Arabidopsis thaliana: one gene and its partner. The protein of the gene in region 2 interacts with the protein of the main gene of each other region in a pairwise test. Each region holds a gene or a part of one and is shown on either strand. Other genes may lie near its edges.

Region 1 (3,600 bases), about 19 Mb from region 2:
GAAGGATAGTCAAATATAAACTCACAACTTGCAGAAACCATGGAAAAACTACTTTGTAAATGAGCGGTGACTGGTGAGAATTATATGTAAGTTAATTGTATACCCGCAATCGTTCAAAGAAACTATACCTTGACTCAGTACTTTGACTCATGCTACAATTATTAGTTGAAAATTTAAGCTAAGAGCCTGATTTGAAAATGAACTGTACGACATACAGGATGAATGACCAAGAATCAATAGTTCACCTATAAATTTGTAGCAACTGTTGTTGGTGACCAGCCTGAACCATTTGCTGTGCCAAGTCATGCAAAAGTGGCAACACCCGTGACGGAATGAGGATTGGAAGTGTATAAGCAGCAGTTTCCGCGTCATCATTGTGATGTCCTCCGTGGGGTTTTCCACCTCCATCCCCGTCTGAGGATGGTCTCAGTGAGTTGGGAAGGCCATCAAATAGGCGATCAGGCTCCACCGCTTTACTGATTATAACAAAAAAAAAGAGTTGGCCTTAGCATTCTTCCATCTAAAACCAGTTGTCTGGAACACTCGTATCATAGGAAACTTGTATATTGACAAGTGTTTGATTTCACAAAAAAAAATCTTTGTCAGGTGACAACTCCGATAATTTAGATAAAAGGTCATTCTAAGTATTCTAGGTTATTTGAAAGATAACTAAAGAAGTAAGACCATCATAGAGCGAAGACCAGTTCCCAAAAAAATACTAACTAGAAAAAGTAGCTAAAAATCCACAATAGCTTTGTTCCCTGAAGTTACAAGGTATGAGTCATAGTTATAGCAAGAGCATCAAGTTTGAAATCATGTAGCTTCTTAAACTCTTATCAGGCGCAGAAGCACAAACCTGTAAGAAGCTAGCAACTGCTTAAACTCTTCCTCCAGCTTTGACTGTGCTTTAGCAAGCAAACTATTTGCGTGGTTGAGAACTCCATCACTACTCTTAAAGCTTTTGTTGCTCATAAAATAACGAATAATCTTTCTGAGTTGAGCAATTGCATCCAGATAACTTTCCAGGTCCTCATGTGGCCCCTTGAGTACTTTAGTCTCTGCCTAGAATTGAATTGAGAGCATAATCAAAGACTATCTATTCTCAATGTAGATCATTATCAATTCTATCTATTTATACCGATCCATGTTAGTAAAATCAGAAGCAAGATTTGTAAAACAAACCTGACGGAGGAGATCGAATTGAGACAAAATAACTTCAGCAGCCTTAAGAGTCCTATCAATATTCTCATGAGCTTTCCTTATAGCATGAGTCCTAATCTGAGATTTCAAAACACAGTCAAACCAAAATCCGATCAAGTCAGCAAAACTCCATAGAGCTATAATACCAGATCTGGATTAGAAAACAATCAGAGAAGATGATCGGAGCACTCTAAACCACACCTGAGTAGGACGCATGGCGGTTTCAAGAGCAGACAGACGACTATCGAAGGAGCCGAGGATAGAAACAACATTATCGGTGATGGTTTGACTCTTTTGAAGAGATGCTCTCATCAACACAGCTCTTTCGCTTAGCAGATCCATTCTGCTATCAACAGCCATGGCGAATTCCAAAACTGGAGAAATACTTTTTCTCGTCGCCTTTCGAAAAATGGAAGTTGAAGAAAAAGAAAGAGAGACGACGAAGGATGACTCGGTTTGGTTTGGTGGGTGACAGAGGAATGCCGAGCCGGTTCAAAGCCAGCTAAGCTTTTTCTTTCCCCTTACTTAACCAGATTGTTGAACATTCTCTTAAAAATATTGACCTCTGTTTTAAATATTTTTATAACAGAATTATAGAAATAATTAAGGTTCAATAAAATTTTGTATTTCCATTAACCAATAATGTAATCGTAAATTAATATATGCAGACGCTAACCATAATAACACATATCGAATATTATATTCCAATAAAATTAAAGAAATAAGTACACTTCAATAAAAATTTGTCTTTCCATCAACCAGTAATGTAATTTTTCAATTTATTATAGTCAGATATGCTAACCATAATGTAATCCTCTCATAATTTTTCTTTACAAACTCGAAGTTTTTGGTGTTATATCGTTCGTTAAATGTCGACAACATTTATAAGCATTGAGCAGTGTTGACATATCATGGCCCACAAAATAAAAGGCTATTGTCCAAATACGAAATAGCCCATTAAATACGGCTACAAATTTGTTTTTACACAAAAGTCACAGTACTGTAGATCTATCTCTAAGAATATTATCCATTAACGACCAAATTTGTCTCAGAAAATAAATGGCTCAACAACAAACTAAATATCAACATTTTCTCAAGAGACATATTATAACTAAAAAGAAATGAACAAAACACTTGACATTAGTGTGTTGAAAACTAAAAAAAAAAGAAGAAGAAGAAGACTTATGAGGATTGTTAGACGAAGATGTAGCCTCTAGAGGATCTTTATTTTGTACTCAACTTGGCACCTTGGTGTGTCAATTTCGACACAACAGTTCTATCCTCCAATAAATTGAAATCACACCGAACATTCACACACACAAACATACACACACTTTATTCTCAATTTATTACGATGGTTTAAATGTTTACTAGAGAGCAGAAAAATATTTTAAATTCAAAAAGAGAAGAACAATAAAAAAAGGTTAGGCGAGCAAAAGGAAGATGATATTCCTAAGATACCTTTTCTTTTCATGGCTTTTCCGTCACTCATTCTGTTCCCAAAACCATGGACAACATTCTCATATTTTTGGATATTTAGAGAGAAAATTAGTTCCATATTTATTCATCTGCCGTTGATAACTTTTAGTTTATAGAAACATAAACCTTCTTGAAATATGTTTTACCATAAGAGGCATATTAAATAAATAAATAAAAAAAAATGACGACAAAAAAAAAAATCATACTGTATATAAAAAAAGAAAGTGTTTTGTGAGAAAAGAAGAGAAAATCAAAGTGCTTTGACTCTTAGTGACGTCTTAATCGGAGCGTGGAAAGCACGTTCTCAGAATGCGCGCGTAAACTTTTGCACAGGCCAGGGGTGGGGTTTCGCAGGGGCTTGGCTGACAGCAGACGAAGGCCAAACATGGCTCCCATAATTCATTTAACCATCACTGTTCGCCGACTCTTCTAGAAAAAAAAAAAAGTAGTTTTCAACCTTCTTACAAAATAATTAGTTCCATTGGTGACTAAAATTTAGTCATTGTAAGTTTTTTTTTTCCTTATTTCAATTTATATTGTAGAGAATACAATATAGCCTAAAGCAATGAGAAATGATGTTAATGACTAAAAAAATATGTATAGTAAGCTAGTGACATATCATAAATTGTTTTATAGATATAAAAAACAAAATTCATGAAAGTATAGACACATTAAAATTTAAAAATAATAATGAATTCCAACCACTTTTTCTAAGCGGTTCAATGAATCGTCTAATTTTTTAGACTGTTTAAATTAGTCTGTCCAAAAATAATGCTCATTCCCTTTTTACAATCGCTAATTTAAAACGCTTTAACAAACTAACTGACAAAATCAAATCGTTTCAATTGGTAGCCCACGAAAACGGTTAGTCTCCAACCGCAGTGGTTAATAGATATGGCAACCGCAGCCGCGATTCCAAAA
Region 2 (3,959 bases):
TATGCTTTTCGTTTGCTTGAGATACTAAAATTTCTCCCTCATCAAAAGCTGCCAGAGCTTCATCCACCCTTCTTTCAGCTAATAAAGCATCAAGGTGGTCAGGAAATTCCGTAGCCCATTTCTCCAGATCAGAGAGGCCGTTGTCCTCAAAATTCAATAAACCATTCGCAAGAGATTCATCAGAAACTTTATCGTCATCAATGTTAACTCCATCTGCTAAGCCATGGATTAGAGTCGCCTGAGTGGAGAGAAGATTTCTGATAGATGATAGCTCCCCCTCAAGATCTGATATCTCTTTAGATGTGCTGCACAGAACAGAAAAAAGTTTAATTTTCAAAATAACACACCGCCAAGAAAAAACAATAAGGTAGTGCGAGGAAAAAGAAGTCATATGCAAAACGCAAATGCACCAATACCCACAAGAAATGAAATAACTTGAAAAAGTAGAGCTTTATTATCACATCAACTTCAAAGAAAATAACCAAGCACTAAAAACAGACAGGATATCAGCTAACCGTATAAAGGCTGGATAATTAGCATAAACACTTCGCCGCATTTCTTCAGCAGATGCTCTCTTCAAATCCAATAGATACGAGCATAACTGCTTTATATCCTGTGAACCGAACAGAAATATGTCATCATCCCAAAATAACTGAGAAAAAACAAAGAGTCCAGCCAAGTAATCCAACAATCTATGTTAACCAAATCAAACACTACTCTTTTTGTAGTAAACTCTAGAAGGCCTAAACTAACTTTTCCCTCAGCTCTCTCACACCATCACAGAAAGTGACTACACAGACGAGACACCCTTTATACCCAATACCATAACCGAATTGAATCTTTTCTGTAACAGAAAACGAGAACAACAGATTCTGTCTCTGATACAAGACATAGTCATCCATGTATATTCACATGAGCTACATTCTGTATTACACTGAACACATCATTTGGCAAGCTAAAAGCTTATAAATGGGTACTAAACCTATCAGCATTTCTTAAGAGTAACATTTTTACATAATCATAATTCACAAACTGCCTTCAAACTCCAGAAGATCACAAGAACAACCATACAAGCAATGAGTATTGTTACATTGCTCATCATCTTCTCGAGCGTATAAAATCTGCTGCTACCTAATATCCATTCCACAATTACGATTTCCTACAGCTAAAACGAAATGCAACAAAACAAGAACACTGCGATGATACAATCCCAAATCTACGAACAAGTCCCCACAGACTCAGTCCTAGAAAATTCTCACTCGTGATAACAACAAATCAACGAGAATAAGAACACGAAATGATAAAAGAACAGAAAAAAACCTTCTCGTTGATAGAACATTTGGATTGCACATAAGCATCAGCATCGAACTTATCAGACTTGAACAGACTCAATCCTTCCTCGACTCTGACACCATTTTCCTTCGTCGGCGTAGCTTTTGATCTGGCCGTCTTCGCCGCCATCGTTAAACTTGCCTGTCTTCTCAGAGAAAACCTAAAATTTCACAGCGGTTCCAGATCAGCAATCCCAGTGATGCCGGTAATGTTACCGGAGAATTAAGCACAGATCTGAGGGAGCTCCTAGATACGGAGAGCAGATAGAGAAAGTGGGTAGAAGAAGATGATGATCGAGTTGGCAACCAGAGCGATTTAGCCAACGACGGTAGCTTGGCTTTTTCGTCTGCTTAAACAAACGAATTTTCTTGTTGAAAACTAATAAATAAAATAACGACTCTGGGTTTTTTTTACTGGATTTTTTACTAGTAAACGGCAAAACAGAAACCCTCTCATTTGCACGGAGGCTTTCCTTTATCCTTCACCTCTGCCATCACTTGAGCTAAACCGACGCCGTTTTAAAGAATGCTTACTTTAAGATTGCCGTTAATGTAAATCTGAGCAAAAACCTTTGAAGAATCATATCATCGAGACAACAGAGAGAGATGTTTTGTAGCTTATCCATTTCCAGATTTGTCTCGAGGAAGACAATAACATCATCATCTCTTCTCTCTCGCAGTTTCAGATTCCTTCTCTCCGTTGATTCTCCTCCTCACATCCCTCTTCTACGCCCTTCTTCCAACACCCTAATCCCTTCCTCTTCCTTCTCCCGCCGTATTTGGGACTCCTGCAGCGGCGGCGGCGGAGGTGGCGGCGGAGATGATTATGATCACATCAGAAGTGACGTCAATTGTCCTCGTTGCTCTGCTCAGATGCACGTCATCTTCTCAAATCGTCCATTGTCTCTAACAGCAAGAGAACCAGGGATCTATCAAGCTGTTAATTTCTGTTCTCAATGCAAAACAGCTTTTTACTTTAGACCATTCAAGCTCTCTCCTTTACAAGGGAGTTTTATTGAACTCGGGAAAGTTAAAGGAACTGATGATGACCATGATGATGATGATGATGATCAGAAATCTTTCCCTAGGAATTGGAAAATTCAAGGTCTTAGAAGCGATGAAGATGGTGAGGATGCTGATGAGGAGGAGGATGAAAGTAATGGTGGTGATAAAGAGAAGCAATCTGTGATTAAGCTTCCAACTCCTAAGGAAATTTGTCAAGGGCTTGATGAGTTTGTCATTGGTCAAGAGAAGGCTAAGAAGGTTTGGTTTCGGTCCCTAGCTTCTTCTTCTTTGTGTCTAAATTAGATTCTTGTTTACATATCTTTCCTTTTGTGCAGGTTCTTTCTGTGGCTGTTTATAATCATTACAAAAGAATATATCATGCTTCTAGGAAAAAAGGGTTTGTCTTCTTCCATGCTCTTATCATTCTGATACTTTATATGGGATACAACAAAGCTCGATTCTTTTGCTCTTTTTTTAATAACAGGTCTGCTTCAGAATCATATAACATTGATATGGAGGATGATAATATTGATCACGTGGAGTTGGATAAGAGTAATGTGTTGTTGCTTGGTCCTACTGGTTCAGGTGCATATTGTTGCTTGCCATATTGTTTTGGAGAGTATTTGGAGATACTGTTTAGTATGATAATGATCTTGGCCTTTATGTTTCTTGCTTGGTTATAAGAACAGGAAAGACTTTACTGGCAAAAACTTTGGCGCGTATTGTCAATGTGCCATTCGCTATTGCTGATGCGACTTCACTAACTCAGGCAAGTTGTTTCACTTATCCCTCTTAAGGTTTGGGTACTCAGAACATTAGTATGTTGTACATTAGGGAAGCATTAGGCCCACTAGGATGGATGCCTTACAATCCCTCATTTCGAAAAATATTTTGAATGAAGTGATGATGTTTTTCTTGCTTTTTAGAGGAATCTTAACACAAGTCTTGCTCTTAGCATAACTAAACTACTCTTCTTGTCCAGGCAGGTTATGTTGGTGAAGATGTGGAATCAATATTGTACAAACTATATGTGGTATGTCTTACTATCACCTCATATTATGTCTCTGGTTTTACATATTTGTTTATACCTTCATTTGTAATATAATCTTAACAACTGCTTACGAAATAGTTTTTCGCTGACTACGTCTGAAACTACAAATGTACTTTGTTCCTGTCTTTGTAACAGTTCAAAAAAAAAATTTCTTCTCACCACTTTCTTCTTGATCCACTATTTTAGTATTCGGAAAATCTTGTTATTTGCAGTATTCATGTTAATTTCTTTCTTAGATGCTAATTAGCAACCGCTTTACTTTGTTACTGCAGGAAGCTGGGTGCAATGTAGAAGAAGCTCAAAGGGGAATTGTGTACATTGATGAAGTTGATAAAATGACTATGAAGGTCTGAGTTTTCTTCACTCTTTACTTTTGATTCTGAATTGGTTGATACTCAATATTTAGCAAGTTATTTTTCGCTGTCAGTCTCATAGCTCAAATGGTGGTAGAGATGTCTCTGGAGAAGGTGTTCAACAGTCATTGCTAAAATTGCTGGAAGGAACTGTAAGCTTTTTCTACTTGAAATCTTTAATTTAACTCAACTGCATATAGACTGTTAACAGAAACGATT

What was found. Proteins that work in one complex are often made in the same cells at the same time.
Region 1: the proteins of EXO84B (region 2) and EXO70A1 interact in a two-hybrid assay, tested with the Arabidopsis thaliana proteins (one study listed by BioGRID).

The regions. Positions count from the first base shown.
Region 1 is NC_003076.8:887,566-891,165, reverse strand, and holds the start of EXO70A1 (exocyst subunit exo70 family protein A1), read right to left. Parts: upstream 1,601-3,600; 5' UTR 1,561-1,600; coding exon 1,402-1,560; intron 1,279-1,401; coding exon 1,183-1,278; exon of another isoform or gene 1,063-1,182; coding exon 857-1,062; intron 650-856; coding exon 572-649; intron 477-571; coding exon 246-476; intron 1-245. UniProt on the Arabidopsis thaliana protein: Component of the exocyst complex involved in the docking of exocytic vesicles with fusion sites on the plasma membrane during regulated or polarized secretion. Involved in polarized cell growth and organ morphogenesis.
Region 2 is NC_003076.8:20,253,306-20,257,264, forward strand, and holds the start of EXO84B (exocyst complex component 84B), read right to left. Parts: upstream 1,735-3,959; 5' UTR 1,462-1,734; coding exon 1,321-1,461; intron 1,160-1,320; coding exon 1,045-1,159; intron 845-1,044; coding exon 774-844; intron 614-773; coding exon 516-613; intron 306-515; coding exon 1-305. Other genes in the region: AT5G49840 (ATP-dependent Clp protease), read left to right, coding at 1,938-2,594, 2,672-2,733, 2,821-2,921, 3,026-3,105, 3,319-3,369, 3,660-3,734, 3,815-3,892. UniProt on the Arabidopsis thaliana protein: Component of the exocyst complex involved in the docking of exocytic vesicles with fusion sites on the plasma membrane during regulated or polarized secretion. Involved in polarized cell growth and organ morphogenesis.